Regions from separate parts of the Mus musculus genome. Here regions 1, 2, 4, 5, 6 and 7 are each reported to be linked to region 3. Evidence: microRNA targets listed by miRTarBase, many of them from high-throughput screens and not tested one by one. Region 3 holds a microRNA gene; each other region holds the end of a gene's coding sequence. Distances are between the middles of the regions.
The links. The annotated mature microRNA mmu-miR-669m-3p reads AUAUACAUCCACACAAACAUAU and lies in region 3 at 2,879-2,900, opposite strand. An mRNA with a match to its seed (bases 2 to 7 or 8) in the 3' UTR can be bound and repressed. Matches are read on the target gene's strand: a 7mer-m8 pairs with bases 2 to 8, a 7mer-A1 pairs with bases 2 to 7 and ends in A, and an 8mer does both.

Region 1: miRTarBase lists Pcsk5 as a target of mmu-miR-669m-3p. The part of its 3' UTR that is shown has no 7-base or 8-base seed match.
Region 2: the mRNA of Tigd5 is a reported target of mmu-miR-669m-3p. Seed matches in the 3' UTR shown: 7mer-m8 at 1,231-1,237.
Region 4: miRTarBase lists Sort1 as a target of mmu-miR-669m-3p. The part of its 3' UTR that is shown has no 7-base or 8-base seed match.
Region 5: miRTarBase lists Akap7 as a target of mmu-miR-669m-3p. Seed matches in the 3' UTR shown: 7mer-m8 at 2,046-2,052.
Region 6: the mRNA of Strbp is a reported target of mmu-miR-669m-3p. Seed matches in the 3' UTR shown: 7mer-m8 at 3,407-3,413, 7mer-A1 at 430-436 and 7mer-m8 at 128-134.
Region 7: the mRNA of Adgra1 is a reported target of mmu-miR-669m-3p. Seed matches in the 3' UTR shown: 7mer-A1 at 688-694 and 7mer-m8 at 1,509-1,515.

What each region holds. Positions count from the first base shown.
Region 1 is chr19:17,429,797-17,433,864 of GRCm38, forward strand. It overlaps Pcsk5 (proprotein convertase subtilisin/kexin type 5), which reads right to left. Exons shown (of 38, transcript NM_001190483.2): 38 at 2,518-3,979. The coding sequence ends at 3,597. Among named protein-coding and RNA genes, the nearest start is that of Rfk, 38 kb to the left of the region's middle.
Region 2 is chr15:75,911,115-75,915,182 of GRCm38, reverse strand. Tigd5 (tigger transposable element derived 5) reads right to left here. Exons shown (of 1, transcript NM_178646.4): 1 at 648-4,068. The coding sequence ends at 3,464. Among named protein-coding and RNA genes, the nearest start is that of Tigd5, 3.4 kb to the right of the region's middle.
Region 3 is chr2:10,511,679-10,515,746 of GRCm38, reverse strand. Mir669m-1 (microRNA 669m-1) reads right to left here and starts at 2,957; the gene lies at 2,860-2,957. All of the region lies in intron 10 of Sfmbt2 (Scm-like with four mbt domains 2), which reads right to left. It overlaps Mir297b (microRNA 297b), which reads right to left; the gene lies at 3,972-4,068. It overlaps Mir466d (microRNA 466d), which reads right to left and starts at 3,780; the gene lies at 3,685-3,780. It also overlaps Mir669m-2, Mir466n, Mir669o, Mir466g and Mir466h.
Region 4 is chr3:108,356,784-108,360,851 of GRCm38, reverse strand. It overlaps Sort1 (sortilin 1), which reads right to left. Exons shown (of 20, transcript NM_019972.3): 20 at 1-3,623. The coding sequence ends at 3,609. Among named protein-coding and RNA genes, the nearest start is that of Mybphl, 6.1 kb to the left of the region's middle.
Region 5 is chr10:25,167,792-25,171,859 of GRCm38, reverse strand. It overlaps Akap7 (A kinase (PRKA) anchor protein 7), which reads left to right. Exons shown (of 8, transcript NM_001379238.1): 8 at 612-2,770. The coding sequence ends at 808. Among named protein-coding and RNA genes, the nearest start is that of Gm36313, 16 kb to the right of the region's middle.
Region 6 is chr2:37,580,292-37,584,351 of GRCm38, forward strand. It overlaps Strbp (spermatid perinuclear RNA binding protein), which reads right to left. Exons shown (of 18, transcript NM_001379315.1): 18 at 1-3,815. The coding sequence ends at 3,739. Among named protein-coding and RNA genes, the nearest start is that of Gpr21, 66 kb to the left of the region's middle.
Region 7 is chr7:139,875,664-139,879,731 of GRCm38, forward strand. Adgra1 (adhesion G protein-coupled receptor A1) reads left to right here. Exons shown (of 8, transcript NM_177469.3): 8 at 1-2,425. The coding sequence ends at 531. Among named protein-coding and RNA genes, the nearest start is that of Kndc1, 17 kb to the right of the region's middle.

The DNA.
Region 1 (4,068 bases), not on the chromosome of region 3:
TTCTCCTTCTCCTTCTCCTTCTCCTTCTCCTTCTCCTTCTCCTTCTCCTTCTCCTTCTCCTTCTCCTTCTCCTTCTCCTTCTCCTTCTCCTTCTCCTTCTCCTTCTCCTTCTCCTTCTCCTTCTCCTTCTCCTTCTCCTTCTCCTTCTCCTTCTCCTTCTCCTTCTCCTTCTCCTTCCTCCTCCTCCTCCTCCTCCTCCTCCTCCTCCTCCTCCTCCTCCTCCTCCTCCTCCTCCTCCTCCTCTTCCTCTTCCTCTTCCTCTTCTTCTTCTTCTTCTTCTTCTTCTTCTTCTTCTTCTTCTTCTTCTTCTTCTTCTTCTTCTTCGCATGTGTGCCATGATGTGCATGCATAGGTCAGAGACAACTTCACAGAGGGCAGTTTTCTCCATTTGCCATTGTCAAGCCTACACAAGAGCTGGGCCATCTCATGCTGTTGGTTTCTGACTGTTTCTGTCTGTTTCTCCTCTTTTTTCCTGGCCAGATACTCTATTTCTCTTGTTCAGTTTCCTGAACACCGAGATTGCAGCCTGCAGCAGCCTGTCTACTCCTGCACGACTTTTGCTAGCAGGAGTGAGAAAAAGAAATGGAGAAGGACTGAAATTCAGTAACGCTAAGGATGAGGCAGTGGTGGTGAGGCTGAAAGACAGACTGGATCAGTTTATTGGAGAGGAAATTCATCAATGGTAACACTTGCTCAGCATTGGGTGTAGATAGAACGAAGCAGACAAAACCCAGGATGCCTACTGTTCTGCAGCTATTATCCCGTACATCATAGTACCATGCACATAAAAATGCTGAGAAATAGTCTCCTGATAAGCAACTCTTTGTAGCATTCTCTGGTCTTGCTTTCACTTTACTTTTAATTTAACATTCTCTTCGGGGAGTCAACATCATCTGAGCTTTTTACTCAGTCTCCTGGTGCATTTCTAGTCTTAACATTTTCAAGTTATTTGCAAGCAAAAACCTGAAAGGTGTTTTCCAACCTTTTCCAACCATGTTTACCCATCAGGGCATCGCTAGCATAGAATTCAAAGGCAGTTTGAGAAGAACGCATTACGTCTACACAGACAGGAGGCTGGGTCTTAATCACATGGGCACACAGTGTCTTTCTCTGTGAATCACAAAGAGTAACGACACATTTTTTTTTCTTCTTTTTTTCTTTTGTATTTCAGATCAGCTTGGGAGACTGTACATCATCATAAGCACAGATCTTTTTCTTGGGAAAATGGCTTTGTAGCCTACTGAGAGCAGCTCGGCCTGCTTCTACATTCTCAAGGAAGACAAATGGCATATGCAGCCAGAATTACTTGTTTCTATAGCTGGACTCTGGAATTACATAGCAAGGGATAGATTCTTCCATCGACCTGAAGGTGATTCTTTAAAGCTATGTTAAGTGAACAATCAAATGGATTTTGGAGAGTTCATTTTAAATGATCAAAAATTTGGGAACTTATCCCATGTTTATGTGACTCATATAATGTCTGAAGTGTTTGGGGCCACCTGTTGCTAGATTCAGGGGTCTCTCTCTCTCTCTCTCTCTCTTTTTTAGCAGCCATCAAAGGATGTTATTTCATGATATGTGACAACGACTTGAAGTTCAGATATTACTGTTCATATGAAAAGTGTTGCTGGAGCACTGCTCACTCATTTATTTTGTACTGGGCTCCATGTGTGCTCTATGGTAGGTCTGAGCAATCCTGACAAAGGCCGTTGAGTTCAGAAAGCCTGAAAAGGAAACTGGATATTGGTAGAAACTGTTTTGTGGTCTGTGTCCTAAGGGCTTTTCTCTAAAGAAACACACTGGGCTGAAAAAAGCACTGGACTTTCCTATTAGTAAATGTTATTTACATTCACAGATGTTACTATAGCACCTAGGATAACTGTCATAGAGTAAAGTAACAGACATAGCTTTATTGCATTTAGGATGTAATAACTTTCAGTGGCACACAGTTATTAAGAATGCATGCTTTAAGTGCATTCTTATTCCTTGAATCTTGATCAGTTGTCCTCAATCTTGAGCTAAGTGGCTCATCCTTTTTGGAGGTGTCAGATTTTCTATGAAAATAAGGGATGGATGGCAGCATTTGGCTGGTCGTTAGGTATGAAGTGGGTAAGATATGTAAATTAGCTCAGTGCCTGGCACATGGCAGGTGTGCGACTCATTGTATTATGATTGGTCATCAAGTGATGATGTTACCCATCACTTTTTGGTGTTCTCCGCATAGCATTACCTGTCACAAGGAGCCCCACGGGATTTTGTTTGTGTCATTTTGTGCTCCGTGCCTTCACTATGAACCACCACGTTCAGAAAAAGTGCCCACAGTTACATGATCTAACACACTTGACCAGAGTGGCAAAAAGAAGCCTGGGAACAAAGCACAGTGCAGGAGTGAAGAGACCCGGGCAGCTGTTTGCAGCCTGAGAGGGACGATGGGAATTTTTTTAAGGTTAGGCTCTGACCTACCTATCCTTACTGAGAATTCAAGCTTCTTTGATGACTCATTGATGACAACTTTGGTCTGATTTAGCAGCTGAAGTCTTTATTTAATTGTTGAGCGTGAGTGAAATTTTTGTCTTTTGTGTTACTATTACAATTTTTCTTTTATTACTTCCTATCAAAGAGGCTCTTAGAAAATCACAAGGGGGAAAGTCTTGGAAACAGTTTCCTTCCTTCTGGCCCTGGTGCTGCCTTCCCTCCGTCTGACCTTCCTCTGCTCTTAGGTGGCTATGGTTCTGGGTTTCTGCAAAGGAGCTGGGGCCCAGCTAGCGTGTGGACTGTCAGCTCTGAGGCTGCTAATCCTTTCAGTATAGATGGGTCCTAAGCAGTCAAAGGAGGTGGTTGCTCTTCAGGAGTACTGTTTAAGAAACTTCAAGTCCCCTTTCTTGGTCTTCACAGATTGATTATTCTTTCTCTCTTTCTTTCTCTCTCTCTCTCTTTCCTTCCCTCCCTCCCTCCCTCCCTCCCTCCCTCCCTTCTTTCTTTCCCTCCCTCCCTCCCTCCCTCCCTCCCTCCCGTCTTTCTTTCTTTCTTTCTTTCTTTCTTTCTTTCTTTCTTTCTTTCTTTCTTTCTTTCTTTCTTTCTTTCTTTCTTTCTTTCTTTCCACGATTGAAAGTGGAGAGACCTCCCACCCCAGCTCCAACAACTCTCTAGTACTCCATCTCCCCTCTATTTAGTCAAATATCAGAATTCTAGAAGGTAGCAGTTGTGGGGATGAGAGTGAGTCTCCAACTACAGTTTGAAAGCAGAACCCTTACAGGTCCTCTTCTCCATCCACTTTAAAAATCACATTAGAGTGTTCAACAGATCTTAGTTCTTTTAGATTCCTGCATTTAATACCCTTGACATACCCTCGGGGAAAATGCCTTCGAATTCTCTCCTTGCAGGATCTGTTCATTGCACTCAGCTAATGAAAAGCAGCACAGCAGACTCCAGCATCCCTACATATTCGGGTTGGATGCAAGGTAAGGACAAAAGCAAACACTCAGACCTCAGCCAATGCATTGGTAGCTCCCAGCAGGATTGAGAGCCAGGAAGGGACCAGGAAGGGATGGGAGGTGGGTGGTGGGTGGTGGGTTTGAGATGGGAGGGGGCTCTGTTTATTGGTAAGAGTAGCTCTCATCATCGTACTCCAACTCATCATCTTCCGTCTCATCCAGCAGCCCATACTTGAACTTCCGGTAGACAGTGCCATCTTGGCCCATATAGACGATGTCGTCCTCATCGTCCTCATCGTAGTCCCGGTCCCTGTACTCAATCACCTGGTCCTCGTCAAGATAGCTGCTCCTGTAGGAGGAGTATGACACGGTAGGTTCTGCCAGCTTTTCGTACCGCCCCTTTGCCACAGGTCTGCTTCGAGACTTCCGCCACACGACCGCAGCAGCCCCCAGCAGCAGCAACAGCATGGCGCCAGAGGTCACTAGCAGAGCAGTCTTGGTGTGCTCGTAAAACTCAGCCTCCCTGGCTGGAAGGATGCACTCATCTGATGGAAGGCCGTCCCAGGAGCAGCAGCAAAGGGGGAAAAAGAAACACAATTGGGAAAATCAAACTGTGAAGTGAAGAACTTTTTAT
Region 2 (4,068 bases), not on the chromosome of region 3:
CCTATTTCCTCACTTGGAAGAATTTTTAGAAAAACAGCTCAGCTGCTGTGTTTCTACAAAGTGCTGAGAGAGCTGGCCAGTGAGAAGGCCAGAAGACAGACCATACGGACAGCAGAGGGCTCCACCATCCCAGCTACAGGATCAGTTCCGTGTCGTTCAGACACAAGGCAATCCACTTCCCTGCAACAGGGCCTCTAAGCTATCCCCAGTCTAGGTAGGATAGAACCCCAGGGTCTGGTATAAGGCACCCCTTTGTGGGATCTCCTTGGGCAGCCCACCTGCCAAGATGGTCAGTGATGGTAGTGAACCAATGGCTATTTGTCCCTGGGACCCGGCCTGGGAGGTGAAATACATCCCTTCATTGGCCAGTCTAGAGCACATTGCCTTATGTTCACTGGTGACAGGCTGGAACACAGCCTGTTGGCTACTCAGAGAAGCAGCTTTGGGGCTATACAACTGTGATACTGTCATGAGGCCTCTTCCTGCTATACACTGCTTTCTGAGGTAAAAACTGGTAGGTGCTCATGCATTCTCTGTAATCGCTATTGTCCCACTTTAATGCACTCCTCCAACCCCCATCCTATGGAGTGTTCCAGATGCAAGCATTAGACCCAGTGACAAAAATAAGACTAAAACAGGGTAGCTAATGACGTCAACCTGTTTCACCTTTATTACACGGGCCAGGTGAATTCAGCTGTGAGCAGGGCTGAGTGGCAGAGAGAGGGCCCTACAATAGGACAGGAAGCCCACAAGCCTCTGGAGGACAGCTGCTGGCGTCAAGATGCTCTTGTGGATGCATTCAGAAGAGGCTAAGTTGTGGGCCAGGTCACGGCTGGGCTTCCCACAGGCAATCCTAACTAGGTAGTGTAAAGGGCTCAGTGTCCCACTGCTGGTGGCACCAACAAACCCACACTCCCCATCTTTCTGGGCTGGGTGCTTTCTCCAGACAGTCTGTTTATGAATCCAAGGTAGAACCTAGCAGAAAAGGCTGCCTGTACTTCCCAAGCCAAAGGATCACCACACTTTGGGGAACAGGCCGAGCTCTGGGGGCAAGTGAACTGGGATTCCTGAGTGAGGCCTGGTACACAGCAGGTGGCAATGGCTGCTGAAGAAGGGAACTACAGTTTCAACCTCATTAGTTCATGCAGCTCAGTGCCTGCCCACAGGGAGCGCGGTACACCACCAATGGGTGAGTGTATATATATATATATATATATATATATATATATATATACATACATACATAAATACATATACAGTGAGAGTGTAAGGTTCTCTCCTGGGGGGGCCATGAGCCCTGTGAAGCTCCATCAGATACTGAGTACAGAAAGGTGAACTGCCATGGGGGCTGAGGCCTCTGTGCACTGGGCTGTTCGGCACTGTAAGCCTCAGAGCTATAGGACTCCCTGCTGGACAACCTGGGCAAAGTAGCCTCCTCCACAACCAGGACGCAGCTATCTGAACCCCCGCCTAGAGCATGTAAAGAACACCAGAATGTTTCTAAGTGTACTTTTCTCTTCTTTTTACAGTGCAGTTGTTTGAACCTAGGGCCTTTGGCATCCTAGGCAGACATCCTACCACTGCACTACATCCCTAGCCTGAGATGACACCTTTGAGCCTCATGGGCATCTCCCTAGCCCCGTTAATGGTAGTACACGAACACAAACCTGACAGGAACCCTGTCACTCAGCCAGGCCGTACTTGCTTGTTTATAAGGCAGCAGCAATATGAGGTCATAACCTCCTGGGCCCAAGTAAAAGGGGCTTTTAGAGAGGCTGGTGAGAGGGGTCTTACTCCTGAGCCCTAGTCTCTGCCAACTCCAGTCTACCTGAGCCCAGGCCAGATCGGAACCTCTTCAAAAGAACAGTACATGTAACCTAGGCTGAAGAGCAGCTACTAGAAGCTACCCAGCCTTGAGTGTACCTCCAAGGCCCAGATCTGGCTCTCTGCAGATTTGAAAGCAGGTCTGTCAAAGCTGGATGGTAGTTCCTAACCTGGGTATCTGGCTGATATGGAGGCTGCTGGTATAAACACATTAGACTTTTGAAAACCCAGCCAAGTAGCTAGTGCTGGAGACCCCCACCAGCCACGATTGCCCAAGGTTTTCTAGGTCATCTTTGGGGAGGCTGGGTACTTAGGTGGTCAGATGGTCCTTAGTGTGCATAGATGGAGCCTGCTACCTGAGCTCCAGTTCTGTTGCTCTATGCTTTCCCTCAGCTTTTGATATTTATGCAGATTTTTGACTGGGATGTAGTCGTGGCTCCAAGGAACTATATTCTTGGGCCTAGGTGGAAATCACTTTTGGATACGTCACTCAAGGCTTTGCCCATTGCCAAGCTGTTACATCCCTTCTCCACTTCATGTTTGCAAGGCTCAGAGTAGGAGACATAAAGACAAGGAGGACCGGGACAAAGGCTCTGGATGGAATTCCTGCAAAGACACAGTGCCCCTCCTTAAGACGCAGGTGCCTTAGCTCCAGACGGCCAGCAGTCATCTGAATCCACAGCTGGGCAGAGCAGCAGATACAAAATGTGGACATTCCTTTGAGCCTTTTCTCCTTCAACCTGGGCTATCCAGCCATAGTTCCTGGAGAAGGCTGGTGCAGGAAGAGCCCATGGGGCTAGAGGTTGACTCTAAGGCACTGCAGAGTTCCCAGATGGTTGCAAAGGCTAGGGCATGTTTCCAGGTAGATCAGACTGCCCTGGAGCTAAACAAAGTGCTTTGTGGTTTGTCCTGCCCATTGATCCAAACACTTGCTAACCTCATGAATAGAAGACCTATCCAGAATGGAGTACTTAAAGGGGGCTGGGGAGTGGGAGGGACTAAAAATCCAAGTAGAACAGAATTTGCTATACTCTCTGCTGCATCCAAAACCTCACCAGGCACCGGGCTCACCAGGGACTGGATGGAGCCTAGCCTGGGCTTTGATCCAGCACCATAAGGACCTGAGTTATCAGAGCAAGGGCAAGAGAGCCCCAGAGACCACCTCACCCTGTCAGTCAGCACTCATGGGTTCCCCAGGAAGAGCATCTTTCCAAACAGGTTTAATGTTTTTAAAACAAAACCAAGAACCAAATGCTTCCCCACTGAGATGAGACCAGGTAGCACCAGGGAAGCAGATGAAACAGCAGCAGCCTCAGGCAGTGCACTCGGAGGCAGGTAGGTGTGTGTGTGTGTGTGTGAGCCCCATAGGGGCCAGAGTGGAAGTACAGTCAACTGTTCTCCAGTAGGGGCTGTGCTTATGTGCCCACATGTGCCTACCCAGGGAAGAACATAGCCACTTCCCCAGACCCTGTGGATTGGGGCAGTACATCCTTTACTTATAGAACTCCTCCAAACTGGGCTGGGCTTGCATCCCCGGACCCATACAGTGGACTACCGGGGAGAAAAGGTGGAAGATGGCAGACTGTATGTGCCCCCTCTCTCCCAGTGAGGCAGGAAAAAGACCACTGGGCCAAGGTAGTCACACACCATCATCAGAAGTTACAGCTGAGGGCCCAATACCCCCAAGCCTCCGTGCCATGGTAATGAGAGAACGTAGCTGCACAAGCCTCAGCGGCCCCACTTCTCTGGGATCCTGGCTCTCTAGCCACCTCAGAGCTGTCTCTAGTCCCCAGACAGCTTCCCCAGCAGTAGGTACCAACACTCCTCCTTGTTCGGTGGCCTCCTCCTCCTCCTCTCCAGCCCCGATGCTAGAGGGCAGGCTAGCTGGGGATGGAGGAGCAGCGGGGGCCACCTCTTCTCTGCAGCCTTCCGGAAGGCCTCCATCATCATCCAGGTGTAGCCACTGGGCCACCTCTTCAGGTGCCAGGCGCTTGTAAGCCAGAGCTGCCAGATGTGTGAGGTCACTGAGCACCCTGCTGTGTTCGGCAGTCTCCTCTACCTGGTGAGCTGGCTGCTGCCCAGGCTCAAAGGCTGCTCGCAGACCCAGCAGCCAGCAGCGCTCTATGCTGCCTGCCTGGACCAAGTCCCAAGAGAGGCCAGCCAGGTACAGCATGTCCTTGAGAACGAAGCTTCTCATGAAGTCCAGAGGGGAGCCACTGGCACAAGACACAGCAAGCCGCAGGA
Region 3 (4,068 bases):
CCTGATCCTCCTGACTCTGGCAAGCATTTTCACCTTGTGAGTGAGAGCACCCACTGATCCAGCCCTGCATAATCTCTAAAACTTTAAGTCACATGTCATTTAAAAGTATCAATGAGTGCCATTCGGGGTATGTGTGTGTGTGTGTGTGTGTGTGTGTGTATGTGTGTGTGTGTGTGTGTGTGTGTGTGTGTGTGCCTGTGTGTATGTGTTTGTGTGTATTTATATGTATATTCATATGCACACATACATTAGCACACAAAACTATGCAACATGAACATACACTGGGAAGGAACCCATAAAGCCAGGCTGATCTCTAAGCCATTTTGAAGTTATTCATAAATTTGAACTCCTAATCCTTCTGAATATGGGAAGCTTTTTCACATTGTGAGTAAAAAGTTTCATTAGCCCAATACTACATAATCTTTAAAGCTCTATGTCACACATCATTCAAATGTATCAATGAATGCCATTCCATGTTTGTGTGCTTGCATTTACATGTATGTTTATGGTATGTATATTTATATACACACATGTGCATACACAGGGACGTAAACACACATGCACATACACGGGTGGCATCACATGAATACCAGGATGATGTCCAGCTGAAGTTAAGCATGAATTTGAACTCCCGACCCTGCTCAATCTGTAATATGTTTGCACATGGCGAGTGAGACCGTTCACTGTCCCACTACTGCATAATCTCTAAAAGAATAAGTCACATAGCATTCAAATTAATGGATGAATTCAATTCCTCTGTGTGTGAGAGTGTATGTGCTTGCATTTGTGTGTGTGTGTGCGTGCGTATGATATATATATTCACATACACACAAGCACATGCACACACAAATATACACACATGGACATACATGGCTGAGAATCACATGAATCACAGGCTGATCTTAAAATCATCATGAAGTTAAGCATGAATTTGAACTCCTAAAACTCCTGATTCCAGCATACATTTTGACCTGGAGAGTGAGATCACGCACTGTCCCAGAACTGCATAATCTCTAAAACTCTAAGTGACATATCATTCAAATGGATCGATGAGTGTCATTTGTGTGTGTGTGTGTGTGCCGCATGTGTGTGCATGTGTCTGTATATGCAAAATCATATACATACATCCACATGCACACACACGAAAACACACATCGACATAAATGGGTGGCATCACATGAATGATCTATAACTGAAGTTAAGCATGAATTTGAAATCCTGATTAACCTGACTCTGTCAATCATTTACACCTGGTGAGTGAAACCATTCACTGTCCCCTATTGCATAATCTCTAAAACTCTTAAGTCAGTTATCATTCAAATGGATTGATGAGTGTCATTCTTGTGTCTGTGTGTGTGTGCTTGTGTTTATACGTGTGTGTGTATGTTATGTATATTCAAATACACACATAAACATGCACACACAACTATACACACATGCACATGCATGGAGGAATCACAGGCTGATCTCTCATGAGGATAAGTATGAATTTGAACTCGGGATACTCTTAACTCTAGCAAGGATTTTCACCTAGAGAATGAGAGCACTCACTGGCCAAGTACTGCATAATCTCTAATATGCTAAGTGACATATCATTCAAATGGATCAATGAGTGGCATTCGTGTGTGTGTGTGTGCTGCATGTGTCTGTACATGTATACTCATATATATACATTCACATGCACACACCTGTAAACACACATGCACATACACGGGTGGCATCACATGAATACCAGGATGATGTCCAGCTGAAGTTAAGCATGAATTTGAACTCCTGATCTTCTTGAATCTGCAAATTGTTTACACATGATGAGTGCGACCATTCATTACCCACTACTACATAATCTATAAGACTGTAAATCACATATCCTCTGTGTGTGTGTGTGTGTGTGTGCACGCACGCGCATGCAAGCGCACATGCACGTGTGTCTATGTATGCTCTCATGTATATGCATATTCATATACACACATGTACATGTACGCACACACAAACACACATGCACATACACAGGAGCCATCACATGAATGCCAGGCTGATCTCCAACTCATCATGCAACCAACATGAATTTACACTCTTGATCATCCTGAATCTGGCAAGGGTCTTTACCTTGTGAGTGAGAGCATTCATTGGCCCAGCACGGCATACTCTCTAAAACTCACATGTCACATGTCACATGTCACTCAAAATGATCTATGGGTGCCATTTCTGTGTGTGTGTATATCTGTGCATGCTTGTATATGTTTGTGTGGATGTATATGTATATTCATATACACACATGCACATGCACACAAAACTATACACACATGCAAATATATTGTGGGGAACCCCATAAAATCAGGCTGATCTCTACTCTCTTTTGAATTTATTTATGAATATGAATTCCTGACCCCTCTGAATATGGCAAGCTTTTACATAGTGAGAAAAACTTTCATTTGACCAGTACTACATAACCTTTAAAGCTCAAAATCACATATCATTCAAACATATCAATGAATTCCATTCCTTGTGTGTATGTGTGCATACGTGTGTCCATATACATGTATGTTTATGTTATATATATATATATATATATATATATATATATATATATATGTATATATATATATATATATATATATTCATTTACACAGATGTACACGCACACACATGTAAACACACATGCACATACATGGGTGGCATCACAGGAATACCAGGATAATCTCTAACTGAAGTTAATCATGAATTTGAAATCCTGATTCTCCAGACTTTGTCAATCATTTACAGCTGGTGACTGAGACCATTCACTGTCCCACTACTGCAGTCTCTAAAACTCTAAGTCACCTATCATTCAAATGGATCGATGAGTGCCATTCCTGTGTGTGTATCTGTGCTTGCTTGTATATGTTTGTGTGGATGTATATGTCTATTCATATACACACATGCACATGCACACAAAACTATACACACATGCACATACATTGGGGAGGATCCCATGAAGCCAGGCTGATCTGTACACCATTTTGAAGTTACTCATGAATTTGAACTCCTGATCCATCTGAATATGAAAAACATTTTACTGGTAAGTAAGAAGTTTCATTGGCCAAGTACTACATAATTGCTAAAGCTCTAAGTCACATATCTTTCAAACATATAAATGAATGCAATTTTTTCTCTGTGTGTGTGTGTGTGTGCTTGCATATACACATGTGTTTATGTTATGTATATTCATGTCAACACATGCACATGCACATACAAGTAAACACACATGCACATACATGGGTGGCATCACATGAATACCAGGATGATCTCTAACTGAATTAAGCATGAATTTGAAATCTTTATCCTCCTGACTTTGTCAATCTTTTACACCTGGTGGGTGAGACCATTCAATGTCCCCTATTGCATAATCTCTAAAACTCTACATGACTTATCATTCAAAGGGATTGGCGAATGCCATTCCTGTATCTGTGTATGTGTGCTTGCGTTTATACGTGTGTGTGTATGTTATGTATATTCAAATATAGACATGAACATGCACACACAACTATACACACATGCACATACATGGAGGAATCACATAAATCACAGGCTGATCTCTAAATTCTCATGAGGATAAGTATGAATTTGAACTCCTGATACTCTTAACTCTAGTAAGCATTTTCACTCTAAGTCACTTATCATTCAAATGGATTGATGAGTGCCATCCCTGTGTGTGTGTGTGCGTGCGTATCTATGTGTGCGTGTATGTATATGTATATTCATATACACACATGTACATGTACGCACACACAAACACACATGCACATACACAGGGGCCATCACATGAATGACAGGCTGATCTCTACCTCATCACGCAGTTAACATGAATTTGCACTCCTGATCACCCTGACTCTGGCAAGGGGCGTCACATGGTGAGTGTGACCTCTCCCTGGCCCAGTCATACAGAATCTCTAAGACTCTAAGACACATATCATTCAATAGAACAATGAGTATCCATTTTCTGTGTGTTTGTATGCATGTTTGTATGGGTATGTGTGTATGTATATGTATATTCATATACACATGTTCATGCACACATACATATACACA
Region 4 (4,068 bases), not on the chromosome of region 3:
GAGAATGTACCGGTGTGAAGAAGTGCACATAGCAAGTCCTTGAAGACAATTTCAAGTTAATGCTCCAATTCTTATTTTTGTAACACATGGACCCATGAAATCCCACCTGTACCTGTGGTTTCCACAAGCCCATAGCAGCCTGCACCTGGTGAAGCACTGGCTGATGGGATAGAAAATCTGGCACCTGCTTGCCGACTCTGGACTTCCCGGTCACCACGTCGTCATATGGCAAATCTTAAACTTTGGTTTTGTTCCAAAAGACATTAAAGTTCAGGTTACTTTCCCCTCTGGTAGGAAGGTGATAGAAAACTGAGGTGTGCCCCGCCCTCTGTTAGCAATCCTGTGCATCCCTGTTGAGTATGGAGTTGAGGGGGACCTACTGACAAGCCCTTTGCCGGGGGCGTGCATAGAGGCAGGGCTCTTCAGAGCACTGGAGGACTCTATACCTATACAGTTTACCTGCAGAGCAATAAAATGAGCGATGCCATGCCAGCCCTTTCACCCTGGGGCTTGATGGAATGGCCCTGCAGCCCTCTCAGCATCTTGTATCCTGATGGGGGGACAGTTCGGAATAGTTATGCCCAGCCATGGTTTATAGCCCCGGCCAATAAAAGAGCTGAGGGTGGCTCGCCCATACTACTACACTGCCCAAGAGAAAAGGCTAGGGGACCAGGTGTGAGCAGGCAGGGGACTAGAGGTAAGGCCCAGAGCATGGGACTGCCTGCCAGAATGTAGACTCAGAGGCAGTGGGGTCCAAGGCTCAGCTGTTAAGACTGACAGCTCCTGAGTCCACCCTATAGCTGCTGTCACTCTCCAAGGGCCTCAAAGTAGTGTTCCATTCAATTCACGGCACAGGCCCATTCAGCCATGACCTCTTGCCTCAGGAAAACCCCAAGCCCCTAACGTCCCAAGCCAACAAAAATATGTTTTGGATTTACAACTCAGGCCACTATGGATTTTCTGATATGTCTGAGCTACCTAGCAGTGTTAAATCCTATTGCCCAAGTCTCTAAGTCTCTAGAACCAACGTCATTTGCCACCACAATGCTGAGAATAACTATGCCCACCAGCCAGGCTTATGATGCTCCAAGGCTGCGCAGGGCAAACCAAAGCACAAATTCTGTAAAAAACAAAATAAATAAAATGGCTTAAAGAGCTTCAACTTCTGGCTGAGGTTGCACATCTGTGCGTGTGAATGCTTCTGAGAGCCGTTGTAGGGGCAGAGCCCAAGCCCACAGAGCCAGTGAGCTAGAGACAGAAGTGAAGGGGCAGAGAGGGACTGATCCAGAGGCTGGTCCTGTGCTCCCCGACAGTGGCTATCCCAGGGAGAGGGGGTGCCCCCAGTTACCATCACCTTTTATTTCAGCCATGAAGCAGGGGAATAATATTTTGTTTTTCAAAAAGAAAACAAAAAGGCGTCAAAATAATGGCTCTGCAGGAAACGCCTCTGAGGAGTCCTCGGCCCGGCCCCAGCAAGCCACCCATGAGAAGCTCTGCTGCAAGGACCCGGGGTCTTGCATAGCCGAGAGTTTCAGAGCTCCAAAGACTCCGGGCACCTGATTCAGCGTTGGCTCCTGGGCTCTCTCTATGGCAAGAATAGTGCGGTGCTCAAGAGAAATGAGCCAGAAACTGCCAAGCTCTACAGAAATCCCAGAAACCATTAGAGGCAGAGCACCCTAGTCTCTGGTCAGGGATGAGCATTAAGTCCATCCAGACACTAGGGGAGATCACCATACGTTGGCCTATCTACCCACACCAATCCGGGGATGTACTGGGAGAGACAGCGTGTAGTAGAAATAGATCTCTCCCCTTGGCAGGAGGTGAGGGTGGACAGAACTTTTGATAAATTTATGAGCTGCTATATCTTTGGAATTATTTTAGAATCATTACAAAATGAACAAGCTAAAAGACTTGGAGCATTCTGGCTCTAACAGGTATTGATTCTCTTCCCAGAAACGACCCTAACTTCGTTTTCTAACTGACGTTCCATGACTCACTGAGCTGCAGTTGACATCTCTTTGGCTCTCCCTCCTCTTCTTCTCCCTCCTCTTCCTCCCCCTCTTTCCCTGATGCCGTTTGTTCCTGCTGGGGAGGAGGACTCTGCCATCTGCTCGTGTGTTCTGACAAGTGAGTTTGGCACATTTACTTTCCACTGACTTTCTAGCCATAGAATAAAGTGACAGCAAAATGGATCTACTAGAGAATGTCCTAGTGGTAACTGGGAGGGACTGTGATCAGCACAGCAGGGGTAGGGAGACCAGAGACCTGCCACACCATCTTCCTCTCCAGCTAACATCTAAGCTGTACTCAGATCGCTACAGCTTTCCACTACCAGATGGCCGCCCCCACATCCGCCGATTGCATTCTCTAACTTATTTAATTTGGAAAAATATCAGATAAAATTTTTCCTTAAATTTAAAACATGAAAGCAATGTATTGACCACACACGGCATCATCTAGAAATGTGCCTTCAGTGGGGTTAGCCAACAGGTTCTGGACAACAAATAACTCAGCAAAACTAGGGGAAGGGTGAGGATAGTCTGGGAACATAACTTTGAGCTTGAAAAAGTCCATCAACCTGAAAACATTCCCAGTCCCAGTTCTATGAACAGTAGCAACTTAGGAGGAAGCAATAAGCAGCCACAGTGGTAGTTCAACTCTGAGCCTTTACAGTGGGTGATGGGAAAAATGGAAGCCTACGACGGTCAGTCCTGTGGCTGCACTGTGCACTGACCAATGAACTCCAGTAAAGGGATGGCGGAGCCTGGGCAGAGCCACTGGCACAGCACAAAGTACAGCCTGAAAGAGCTCAGAAGCAGCCAGTTTTGTCTTTAATAGGTGTCAGAGCTAGTCAATTCTCTGCCTCCCTCTTGCCACAAGTTAAAAATATTGCCCTGTAAGTTTTCCCTATTTAGTGTGTTGGAAGCACATGATTAAGTTAGTTGCCAACGGGCAATTAACAAGGGTATTGCCTAATTAAACGGGAAAAGAAAAGTCATTGTGCCCTACAGTAGTGGTTGGGGGTGAGGTGGGGATGAGGAAGCCGCACAGGGCTGGTGCTCGGTACTCTCTGAACAGGGCTGTCTGCGGATGGAGAAAAGCTGTCCAGGTGTGCCAGTCATTACACCCTCTGCTTCCTTCTCCGAGGCTGCCTCACATGACCAGCAGAGCCCAGGGACAGCACCAGGTATGCGGTGGGAGTTGAGTTGATGCTGGAGTTGGCAGATGCCCTGGGGTGGGCACCAGAGGGAACACACAAGAGCGGGGTCAGCGAAACAATCCCTTTGAGTCCCAAGTTATGTCCCTTAATGCACAAAACAAACCAAGAGAAGCCTAAAGCCCACAGTCTTACAAAAGACAGAAATTGAAACAAAAATGTTAAAGAATTTAAAATTTCCCCCCTCTCCTCAGAGCCAACTGTGAGGTCAGTCGGGGTCCCCCACCCCCATCCTGCTTTCTTTAGTGTAGGTCCTTTGGGCTTGGACAGGAGTGGCAGAAACAGAGCTGGGGCCGACGAGGTGGGAAATTTATTTCCCCAAGTCGGAGCCTCAGGGAGTGTAGGAGGTACTGTGGCTCCACGCACACGCAGTCCCAGCTCCTCTGAAGAGCTATTCCAGGAGGTCCTGAAAAGAAAGACACGTGCGCGTTATTGACAAGTTAGGAAGCTAGTTTGAAAGCAATCACCTGCTTGCTCTGCGCCTCTTGTCACTCCAGTGCTGCTTTGGGCTCATGCATAACTTGGTCCCAGGTGTATTTTTTTTTAACTTAAAATAGATTTACTTATTTTCATTATATATGTATGGGAGGCCAGAAGAGGGCATTGGATTCCCTGGAACCAGAGTTCTAGTGAGTGGTGAGCCATCATGTCTTCGCAGAGAATGAAACCTGGGTTGCCAGAGTGGCAAGTACTTTTAATCCCTGCGCCATCTTTCTGGAGACTGTCTTGATCAGAAGTATAAAAGGAACTCTTTTTAAGACTTTATTCCCAGCACTTGAGAGGCAGACACAGGCCTTGGTGAGTTCGAGGGCAGCTTGATCTACTAGACCTAGAGCTCGTCCTAAGACAGC
Region 5 (4,068 bases), not on the chromosome of region 3:
TAGGAGAATTTCCTATCTCTAAAATTACAGTGATAGCAATGAGATTTTAAAATCAGGATGTTAGCCCTGCAGTCCTTTTTAAAACCAGCTGCTACTGGTCGTGATTACTACACCTGTCTTGGTGTGTGAGCGCTGGGAGTTTATCGACAATGATCTCTATGCCAAGCGTTTAAACATGAGTGAGCCTAACCTGTAAGATAACGGGGGCAGTCTTGATTTCCTGATAGCTAGCACTGGAAAGGGAGCAGCAGATGCAGAGCTCCTTGGTGAATTCATGTGCTCGAGACCCTAGGTGTGGGTACAGGCAGCTCCACAGCTGTCATAAGCCTTGGGTGAGAGAGGAGCGCAGAGCTATGTAGAAATGAAAGGCTGCGGCGCTGCCCGCAAGGGTGTGTCGGGCTGCTTTTCAGCGTAGAGTCTGCAGGAATAGACAGGTTCCTGCTTGGACAAATGTCATAGGAAAAAGCAACCCAGTCTTGTTGGAATTATAGATCCCATTTGCCAGAGTGAAGGGCACTTGCTCTTTTAACTAGCTGAACTAGCTGGACCCTGGTGGCCTAGTTGCTATGGCAATACGAGCTCAGTGACCTCTCTTCTCTTGTGGAATGTAGGTGAGAAGGACCGAAGGGAGCCTGAGGATGCTGAACTGGTCAGGCTCAGTAAGAGGCTGGTGGAGAACGCCGTGCTCAAGGCTGTCCAGCAGTACCTAGAAGAGACGCAGAACAAAAAGCAGCCAGGGGAGGGGAACTCCACCAAAGCTGAGGAGGGAGATCGGAATGGTGATGGCAGTGATAACAACCGGAAGTGAGAGCTGAATCCAGTCCGGTCCGATGCCCCTCTGCTAAGTCGTAGACTAACTCGCAATGTGTCTTGTTCAAGCCCTGGAGATCACCTAATACTTCTCTGATTGATGTGATTGATGCGTTCGGTGTTGCTGCGACACAACAGAAAAGAATGGGGTGCTGGGACCAGCAGAAGAAATTAATTTACAGAAGAACAACACTAAGTCGGTGTGCCATCGACCATGCACAAGGGAGAGCGGGCTTTTCGGACCGCCTGCCTGACTCACAAGGCGGAGGGAGGGAGAGGACTTGCCACAGACAGAATACTGCCGTTTACATTGCTTCGATCCTTTGACTACTTTATCGGAGGCCAAAACTTGCACACAGCTATCAAGTGCTAAGTTCAGTTTGTCATTGTTGAAATGACCATTAGTATAGTGAGTCCACAATGTTTCCTGTTTGTCCTCTATGTGTTGTTACCACACGGTGATCTTTATTTACAGTAAATTAAGTTTCGTGTAAAGTATATATTTTTGGTAAAATGCAATCTTTTCTATGAAATGTGGGTGATGTTTTAAAGGTTTTTAAGCCTTATTTTGATAAGTCAATGTGCCATATTTAATGTACTTCATTGATATTTGTACTTTAAATGTATTATATAATTTTTCCCCTTAGGCAAGAAGCCAGTTGGAACCCAAGACTTAATTAATGAAGCTTTGCACCGAGAAAGGATGGAGCTGAAATCCAAAGTGAAACAGATAAAAGAACTTTTGTTAAAGCCTGAGACTCAGGCCAAGATTAGAAAGGAGCTTTTTGAAGGAAGAGTTTTTAATAATGGTAGTCCAACAAGCAATGCTGATTTCAACCTGATTTTGCCATAGCTCTCCACTGTTGTTATGCCTGGTAAAGTGTTTATGAACTCTCAGCCCATTAAATAGCTCTTTGGTGAGTAAACAGAGTGTTCTTACAGTTTCTACAAAGCCCACAAACCAACACTTGGTAAGGAATTAACAACTTCTTGCCAAAGAAAACATATTTTTGCCTTATCATGGTCATCATCACCATTATCACCATCATCACCATCGTCACCATCATCGTCATCACCATAAAGTTGAGTTTTAGAATGTTCGTTTTGGTATCTTTGACTCATTTTATAGAAATAACTTCTTAATTAGCTGTTGTAAGATGTTCCATGGGGTCCTTGCAGATAATATTGCGCATACATATATATATACATGTATGTATGTATGTATGTATGTATGTATGTATATATATATGCACACACACTATGAAAAACACTATGAAAAATCCTTTACAGACAAAAAACAACAAGAAAACAAAAATAAACCATCAACAGTATTCTAAGGGTCACCTGCCTCCTGTTGATGTAAGGGTCACCTGCCTCCTGTTGATGTGGCCCTTGTCACTTCAGAGGAAGCATTGTCCGGGCTTGTCCAGTGTCACAGTCCTTTTGCTGAGCGTTTGAATGCTTATTGCTATCAGTACTTGAATGAACATCAGTAAGTGTAATCATTGTAGTCATGGGTTAAGAATGTTTTATAATATCTATATTATTATTTTTCACTGATAAAAGTACAGTTGCATTTTTTTTTTTAATTTCTTAGTGAAGAATGTTCAGGGCTCTTATTTCCTACTCTATGAAGATAAGCCCAAGGCTGTGTTCTTTACGATTTGAGTAGTTTGCACTGGTTCATTTATAAACGAGCATTCTTGAGGTGTTTCCCCCCATGTGATGTTTCTTTGTAACAGCTCTTTGGGTAGTTACTTTAAAATTGCTGCTACTGGTAGATGATGGGGAAGGAAGTAGTTAGAGATGAAATATGTAATCCTCCCACACACAGTCCAGTTTGCTCGTGTATTCTGGTTATTTTTTCACTGGGTAGCTGATACTACATGAATTCATGATGTATTCCTTTATACGGCCCTACGTTTTCATGCCCTGTAATAAAAGTACTCTTTCCCCTGTTGCTTTTCTTCTTTTCTTTCCTCTGGAAACCATTGGGTTCTGGTTGGTGTTCCAAAGCCATGAGCAGGGACTCTGAGGTTTTAGTGCTGCCTGCCTTTGTGCTAAAGGAAGCATAGCACTTCACCACTTTCAAAGCAGTCAACATCAGACGCAAGTAACCGCAGAACAGAAAACTCAAAGATAACCCAAGTGGCGTCTACAAAATAACTAACCCTGTGTCCAGAGTAGCAAATACAAAGAGAGCAAATTCATCTGCGTGTGCACATCTGCTAGCTGCTGGCTGTAAGCCCCCTCTGAGAAGCTGGCCGTGAACCAGGAACCCCCCCCCCCCCCGAGTGGCTGTCCATGAGCCTTCTGTGACAGGGGCTGTCTACGAACCCCCTCTGAGCAGTGGAGGTCATCACAGCTTTTCTTGGGCAACTTTAAAGGAAGCAAAGATGCTTAGGTCTGTCCTGGTTTTTCAAAGGAGGAAACCCACTCCAGGGGTCGGGTGGCTGCCCTAGTCAAAGGCACACTGCTGTTAAGAATTTGGACCTGAGTCACAGCCTAGTGGCCCCAGCGCTCCATTGTTACTTTGTCCCCTGATCCACGAGAACAATTTCAGATCGACATTTCTTAGCACCAGTCTGTATCTTCTTCTCAAGGACTTATCCGCAAATCTAAAGAGCTTGAAAGATGTAGTGCTCCGATTCCATGTCTCTCTGTTAACTTCAGTTGCCTGTCAGTTTCTGTTGTTAAATACCCATGAAGACCTGGGCTATGGTGCCAGGTGATTTGGGCACATGGTTAAATCTCTTCCTTAAGTGGTTCTAGTAGGAAGTAATTAGTACTTTCTAAGTTAGGACACTGGGGGAAATTTATGCTGAAATGGTCAAGGATGTAAAACAAAAGAGCGCTGAATTTAAATTAAAATCTATTCTACCTAAAAGGTGACATTTCCCACAATGGGGCATTTCCTCCCTTTTACAAATACAATATTTCAAAAATTAAAGATGAGTAATAAAGAGGAAGTCCTTGAGCCCTCCCACCACAAACACACACAGACACACACAGTCACACACAGACACCCCCCAACAGTCACACACACATACACAGTCACACAGATACACACACACAGCCACACCCAGACAGCCCCCCACAGTCACACACAGACACCTCACACACACATAGTCTCACACACACAGAGACACACAGTCACACAGACACACAGTCACACACAGACACAGACAGCCCCCCCCCCCACAGTCACACACATATACACGGTCACACAGGCACAGACACACAGTCACACACAGCCAC
Region 6 (4,060 bases), 27 Mb from region 3:
ATTACTGATTCTGATATCCTAGCTCCTTGAACAAGACAGTGCCCTGTCATTTTGACTCTCCTTAGATAGTGTTCCTACAACTGAATTGTTATATTCAAGCAGGTGCCTCTGTTATGTATAAATTACATATACATTAAATCCTACAATTCTACCCACATACACTGGACTCAGTGAATGTGTAATGTTTCTCTTGAATATAAAGCGTTTACAAGAGTATTAAAACAAATGCTGGAAATTACTATTTTACATTTAGACCATAAAAATTTAAAGTTAATGCAGTGACATAAGACCTAAGAGATCAAATACATCATATGATTGTCATATATGCAGGTTGTGTTAATTGGTTATTGTTTTCTTTAATCAGAAAATAAAAGAGCTTACCTTTGAATACTGAGATCACAGCTTACAGTCACTATATCTCAGCCTATTTTATACAAGTGATATGGCTACGGAGGTCCGAGGAGAACGAGAATAAAGTGAGATAAACGTGCTGAAAACTGCTTAAAAGTATTAACCTGAAATACACAGAGGGTCCAACACCAGTTTTAAAAATACATTAACAAGGTATTCCCAGCTCTTCAATTAATTACGGTGACTGATTCATGATTTTCAAACATTCACCCATTTAAAAAAAAAAGAAAAAAAAAGGAGAAGAAGAAGAAAAAAGAAAATGCTAATCCAAGCAAAACCATTAAGTATTTCATTCCCAGAGGGTAACAGTTTGAGGGATTACAAACAATCTCAGGAGCTACTTAACCCAACCCCTTACTTTGCCATACTATGCACCAAACCTCATCAGCATGAGGTATGTTGGAAATCTATGGAGCCATTATGAGGCACAAGAGATGTGGCGCTCCTGCAGCCTTAAGGGGCACAGGTTGCCAGCCACACCTCTGGTGAAGCGTCGGCCCCCACCAAAAGATATGGCTTAAGGAGGACACCTGTCTCGGATTAATTATAATACTGCTAGCTGGCAAAGTCAGAAAAGTAAAAGCTCAAGTTATGTACTAAAAACGATTAAAAAGTGTCAGAGGATATAGCACTGCTCACATAGATTCTAAATTCTACATTGGTCTGTAAACTCCCTGACAAGAGCTACACACTGAAGGGTTTACATCTAGATATTGCTACATGTCCAAAAGGAGAGCTTTAAAACAGACATCGTGGCTTTGGACAAAGTATTGCTCTTTTTTAAAATTCTTAGTCATTGATTTCAAAAAGGGTTAGAGTGGATCTGAAAGCTGGAAAGCCTTAGGGGTCACATTGCTCTTAAGACCAAGATATAAAATTGCCATTCAAGCCAGACAACCTGATGGTTCTAGAAGTCAGAGAAGAAATCTTGAGGGCCCAAGTGAATAATAAATGGTGCGACGCTCAGAGGCTGGCAATAGGGGCTGTCAATGAAAAAACCACCTACAGTGGAGAAAAGAGCAGAGAAGCAGAACTTTATGTTAATCTCATACAATTGGACGAAGCTAAGAGCTTCATTTATATTTCTCTGCTCTTTCAACTGTAAGTGGAATTTTCATTACAAAATGAAGGGTGGGACGGGCAAAAGGTGGGAGGACACTTAATTCATTACAGAATTTAAACAATTGAACTTGCATGGTTACCACTTCTAACATAGGGTCAACAGCTCCATTGTTTTAAGTAAAGCAGAGAAATGTAAAAGTTTGCAGCAACTGGGCAGGTTTACAACATGGTTAGTAACTTCCAACAAACAACAAAATTAAGAAGAAAGAGGGAAGACTTGGTAGGAACCATTTGAAATGACGGCCATCATGTTGGAGAACAGCACAGCTTCCTCCTCCATCAGAGAGGGGGTGAGTTATGAGGCAGAGTCAGAGACTGCAAAAGTCTTTTCTAAAGAGAAATCTCAAGGCAGATTCCAGCCTAGAGTCCAAATTTGATGGTCAATTTCAAATAACAATACAACTGCAACTGCCAATTAATAGTATTTCAAAAACAGAACCATTGTAAATATTTAATTAATTAAAAACTAGATACTAGCAGCCATGCTTTTTCTTCTCAGTGATGGCTCTGTTTCATCCATAGGTCAGCAAAACAAACCAATGAACATGAAAATTCCCAGCTGAAAAGGGCCCTGCTCCATTATGTCTTGCCACTAACACACATGATGAGAATGACAAGTTAAAGCTATTTTCAGCAAGTGACAAGGTTTTATTAAAGTATCACCCACCACTATTAGAAAACAAAGGTCAAGGAAAGGAACAAATGACTGTGTGATACACATCTGAGCAGTATTTGTGCCCGCAGGCTCATCTCGCATTCCCTTCCAAAGGAGCCTGGTACATTAAGTTTAGTAAGACCACTTTCAAGTGATGGGCACTGCTTGAAGTTTTGAAAAGGAATTTAACAGAAAAGTAGTTACTTCCTAAATCATTTTTAAGAATAGTGACTTGTGTCTGCAGAGGACTACACTTGTGCCTGAATGGGGGTGAGTACCTTAATGAAACCATTACCTTCTAGTAACATCATCAGCTTTCCAAACATGGTGAGAATGCAAGGAAGGACTTGGGTCTGCACCCTTCACAGACCAGCACAATGTTACTGGCTCCCAGTTTCTACCAGTATAATCAGGTGTCTTAAAAGTAAATGCTGACCCATGGCTGAAATCTGTCACTTTTCACAGCAGCACTCAACAAGAACTGGGACAATCAGAGAGCGAGTTTTTATGGGGATCCTGTTGCTGCTTTAGATTCTGATATCAAAGAAGAGGAAAGGAGACTCTTCAAGGAATTCCAAAAAAAAAAAAAAACCTGCTAATCATCTATCTACATGGAAAAAGTCAAGGAGTGAACACAGAGTCTTACAGAGTGAAGAAGGCCACAAGAACAAAAGAGGGTGATTGATTAATTTATTTTTTTAACTTGGAAATTCGTAAACTAAAATAATCACAATCCTCCTTCCCCATCTTTGGATGGTGCCATCATTTTAATAAGCAATGCTGGAATAACAGAATGTAACCTTATCATGGGGATGCTCTTGTACAAATGGAGTACAAAGAGCTTACAAAATGAATAGATTGAGAAATCATCTTTGCTTTGTTTTAGCAGCTTGCTTACAAATAAATGGGTTTCTAGGGCCAAGTTATTACTAGTTTTCAATTCCTTGAAATTTGATACCAAAACATATCAAAAATAATAAGATAAAACAATATTCAAACCCATATTTTATTGGCTTTAATTACACACTTCGTTATTTACAAAGTTAAAGTTTAAATGAAAAGTTTCTACTGTATTTAAAAAAAAAATAACTACAGCCCAAATTCAAGTGCCCTGGAGTAAGCACATATCACTCAGCTACCAATCAGTGACTGCATCAGGAACCAGGCAGTACTCTGTGTTACAACAAAGCAGTTTATTTGTAATCAGTGTTGAGACTCTATACATCCTTCACAAATTTAACTTTACATAATCTGATACTCTCTTAAAACGTCAACTTTGAGCTGCTAGACTTCCCTACAACGAAGGGGCTGGTATAAATTATTTCCAGGAATGAGGTACCGTTTCACAGAACTGGTTTCTTTTGTTTGTTTTCAAGTTTTAGAGAACTGAATTTGCATTTGTTAAAATCAAAAAGTAGGAAAGATGTTCTTTACAAATAATTTTGATCAAGTAAGTATGTGTTCAAAGAAAGCAGGATAAAAAGGCTTTTTCTCTAACATTCTGCATTGTACTGTATTGTTGTTCAATAGGAATGAGCTTCTGTCATTTACTAAAAGAATGAGTAGTGGGGAACAGGATATGTTGGGAATTTCATAACGGGTAACAGAACCATTCTCTTGGGCAAACCTACAGAGAAAAGAAACGGAGAGGACTCCAATAAAAATTTCAGGTTAAAAATTCTTACAGTAATTATCATTAACCATTTCCAGATTAGTCAGTCCACTTCATACCATTTTGGAAGAGGCCCACAAATCTCTCACAAATCAATTGCTCTTCTATCTTGATACATAATGTTTTCTGCTCTAAAATAAAAAGCCTGTATTATAGAATGACACTCAGAATGACATCTGAGTGAGCAGGCATGAATTCTA
Region 7 (4,068 bases), not on the chromosome of region 3:
TGTGAGCAGTTAATGGAGGAGGAGGCGGCCCACATCCACATGGCTGAGGAGGACGTCTACCCACACGATCCCCACCTGCATGACCCTCACCTGCACAGGTGCCTCAAGGGCAGAACTAAGTCCCACTACTTCAGCCGGCACCAGGCAGCTGCGGCTGAGAGGGAGTATGCTTACCACATCCCCTCCAGCCTGGATGGCAGTCCCCACAGTTCACGTTCGGAGAGCCCCACCAGCTCTCTGGAGGGCCCAATGGGGATGCACACATTGGCCTGCTGTGCCCAGGCTGACCCCTTCCCCATGGTCAGCCAGCCTGAGGGTGGAGACACAAGCCCTGGGCTCTATGGCTGCCCCCCACACCTATCCCCAGGCCCTGCCCACTTGGAGATGCTACGAAGGACACAGTCCCTGCCTTTTGGGGGCCCCAGCCAGAATGGGCTGCTCCAGGGTGATGTTCGAGAAGGCCTGCCATTTGGCACTGATGGGACAGGGAACATCCGAACAGGACCCTGGAAAAATGAAACTACAGTGTAGCCAGGTTGGGAACACAACTTCTTCGCCAGTGCCACCACGTGTCCCTGGAGGAGCTTCAGAGCAGGGAGTGGCCCTTTGCTATGTGGACTGGAAGGGCCATCAAATGACCAAGTGGTTCTGAAATGGTTCCCAGCCCTCAGCCATGATCTCTTTTGTTGTATAAGAACCCATGGGAAGAACACTGGGCCACATACAACCGCCACTAGTCCCCAAGCTTACCTCCATAAGCTAGTCACCTGCTTTCTGTTTATAGCACCTTCCCTCGCTGCTGGGAGGGAAGCTGGGAGGACACCCCCCCCCCAAGACTCCAGCTGGTGTTCTTGCCTTTGGTATATATATGTTAGGTTTTGCTCTAGGGACCACCGCAGTGGCCCTCCAGAGCTCGCTCACACTGGGCAGTTTCCTGTCCCCTGCTGTCCTTGCGTTACCTCACACCTGCATCTCCACTGGGGGAGCCATCTGGCACCTCGGCCTACTCACCACCTGCACCTGTAATGGGAAATGGCCCTGGCCTGGTAGCCTGAGGTCATTTCAAGTGCTAAGGATGGGCCTGGTATGGAGCCATGGGGAGGGGAAACAACTCATGGCTGTGGCCTTCAGGGAGCTGGCTACAGTCTCTCTGGGCCTGTGCTGTTGAAAGTTGGCCTCTATCAGACTGGATTCTGTCCCATTGTGAGCATGTAGTAGTCAGATTCTCCGTCCCACAAGGAGGGGCTGAGTGGGGTGTGACGGTCATCACGGATGAAGGTTTCTTATCATGGATGACGGTTTCTTTTCCTTTTTGCCATTTTCATGATCATTTTGGGTACAAAGCCCCACCTCAAAGAGTATATTTCAACAATGAGCCTTTTGTACAAGCAAGTGTCTTGTCCCAGGGGAGATCCTCACAGAGGTGAGAGCCCAGAGATGCCAACCTGTGACTGTCCACCCTTCCTCTCCAGCTTTCTCTTCCCAGTTTGTAGTGCATATGCCTACATATGTATACACACACACACACACACACACACACACACACACACACTGGCATACATATATGAACACACCTTTGTGTGTACATACACTTGTGTGTACACACATGCTTATACATATTTACAGTTACACTATGCACACCACATACACGTGCATCCACACGCTTGCCCACCACATGTATGCACGTGCACATGCCTGCACACTACCACACATGCACACATACCACACTGTCCACACACAGACGCATTGGTGTTCACACGCACCCACAAACAATTAGTGTGTATCACAGCCCTGAGTGCTGGGTTTCTCTGCAGATGTGGGTGAGTCTGTGACTTGCTTCACAGAGCATAGCCTTCCCGATAACCGCCTCAGAGAACAGGGCATAGGTAAGTTCCTAGAGCATTGGAGGCGAGGCGGCAGCATTCTGCAGCCTGTGGTGGGCAGTGCCATCTAGAGGCAGACACACTCAGTATCTGAGTAAGGAGGCTAGCAGGCAGAGCTGATATTCATAAGCTCCTCTGTGATATCCCTTAAAGCAGCATTCTGTACCCATCCCTCAGGTGGGTAGCCAAGGACCACCAGGCTGTTTCAGCTCCTTTCACTAACGGACTTTTTTACCTGCTTGTGTAGCTGATGTGTGCAGAACCCACCATGCTGTGTACGTACTGTAGATACAGACCATCCAGAGGAAAATACAGTGTTTTACATTGTTTGTCCTTGGTCGGGCTGGTCAGTAGCATTCATGTGTGTGTTTCTCAGTCTTGACAAGGAAGACCAGTATGGGAGAGGCTTGGCCCCCATCCAGGCTGCTCCCCTGGGCCTAATCCCTCATCTTTTCTACCACGGTGCCTCTGGGAGAACAGAGACACCTCTTCATTCAACCAAAGAAATTCGGCATTAAATATTGAACCTGGCTGTGTTTCAACATTGATTTAGATTCATGAGTCCACTTGGATAAGTGCTGCAGCAGAATCCCGTGACGTCCTGTGGGGAAATGTCATAATGTGCAGCATCCCTGCTTCTCAGAGCCCTCGACTCAGAACCAACCTCCCTTAGGCTGAAAGTTGTCTGTGCCAGCTTTCCAGGCCTTGCTTTACCAGGTCCCTCCCTTCTTCCTTCATGATAATCCACATGGCCAGTGTGTAGGTGGCTGTACAGTGAGTATTCACGTGAGTGTGAATGCACATGTGTGCCTGTAGAGCGTTAGTTGTGAGTGGGTGTTGTCAGAGTCACATTGCATGTCCATCTGTATGGAATGTGTGTGTGTGTGTGTGTGTGTGTGTGAGAGAGAGAGAGAGAGAGAGAGAGAGAGAGAGAGAGAGAAAGAGAGAGAGAGAGAGAGAGAGAAGAGAGAGAGAGAGAGAGAGAGAGAGAGAGAGAGCTCTTCACAAAGGTAACACTACATACCCGGACACACACATACACACACACACACACACACACACACACACACACACACACACACACACACACAGCATCCCTGCACTGGAAAGTATTTCATGAGGTTATATCCTCAGCACACAGAGATGTTATGACAACTTTAATCACCTCAGCAGTGGTTCTAACTATGGAGGCTCTGACTGTCTGGAGACTAGCAGCGTCTGCTGTATCTCCCACGGGGCCACTCCACAGCCAGACAATCTCACGTCTGCCTGCTGAGGTGCCGGTGCAGCCTAGGCAGATCAAGGACACCTCTCAGATCTATGAATGAGTCACCTCTTCAGGCGCTTTGAGTACCCGAGAGGCCCCTGGAGCTACCAGAAAGATGCTGAGACAGAATCTACATCCCATCTACCTGAAACAGGCAGGCAAGACTGAAACATGGGAAGACCAGGGAGACTCTGGGCCCCATCTTCAAAGGAAAGTCAACTTAACTTAGAGGGTGTAATGAGGTTGTTGGGGCTGTGGGTCAAGGTGTAGCCTTGGCAGAAGACCTGTTATAGGATGGATCCTTCTATAGGAGCAGGTAGCCCTATGGATTTCTTTAGCAGTTCCTGACAGAGGTGTCCCTGATGGTGACTGTGCTATAGGCAGTCTGCCAAGTCCTACCACCTGTCCCCTGACCCTCAGTGTTTCTAGGTAGATACTGCAGGCCTCAGCCCACAGTAGGCTCTGAGATCAGCAGATCCCTCTGCAAGGACCACAACCCCCAGGGCAGCCTTTGTCACACTTACTCCTTCATGGTGCTGTTAAAATTTATGTTTGAGGCCAGTGGCCAGGGAAACACCTTCATTCTATGATTTAATATTCTCTAAAATATCACCTGTTACTATTACAACTGGGACCAAAGAGTGAAGCCTGAACCATGCAGTGGTGGTGCACGCCTTTAATCCCAGCACTCGGGAGGTAGAGGCAGGAGATTTCTGAGTTGTTGACCAGCCTGGTCTACACAGTGAGTTCCAGGACAGCCAGAGCTGCACAGAGAAACCCTGTCTCTGGGGGGAAAAAAAAGAGTGAAACCTGTTAAACAATGTATTTGAAGTCCTCTGACCACAATGGAGCCCAGCTCTGCATCTGCAACAGAGGCTAGAGACAAAAGAGACAGGAGGAACAGTGGACACATGGCTT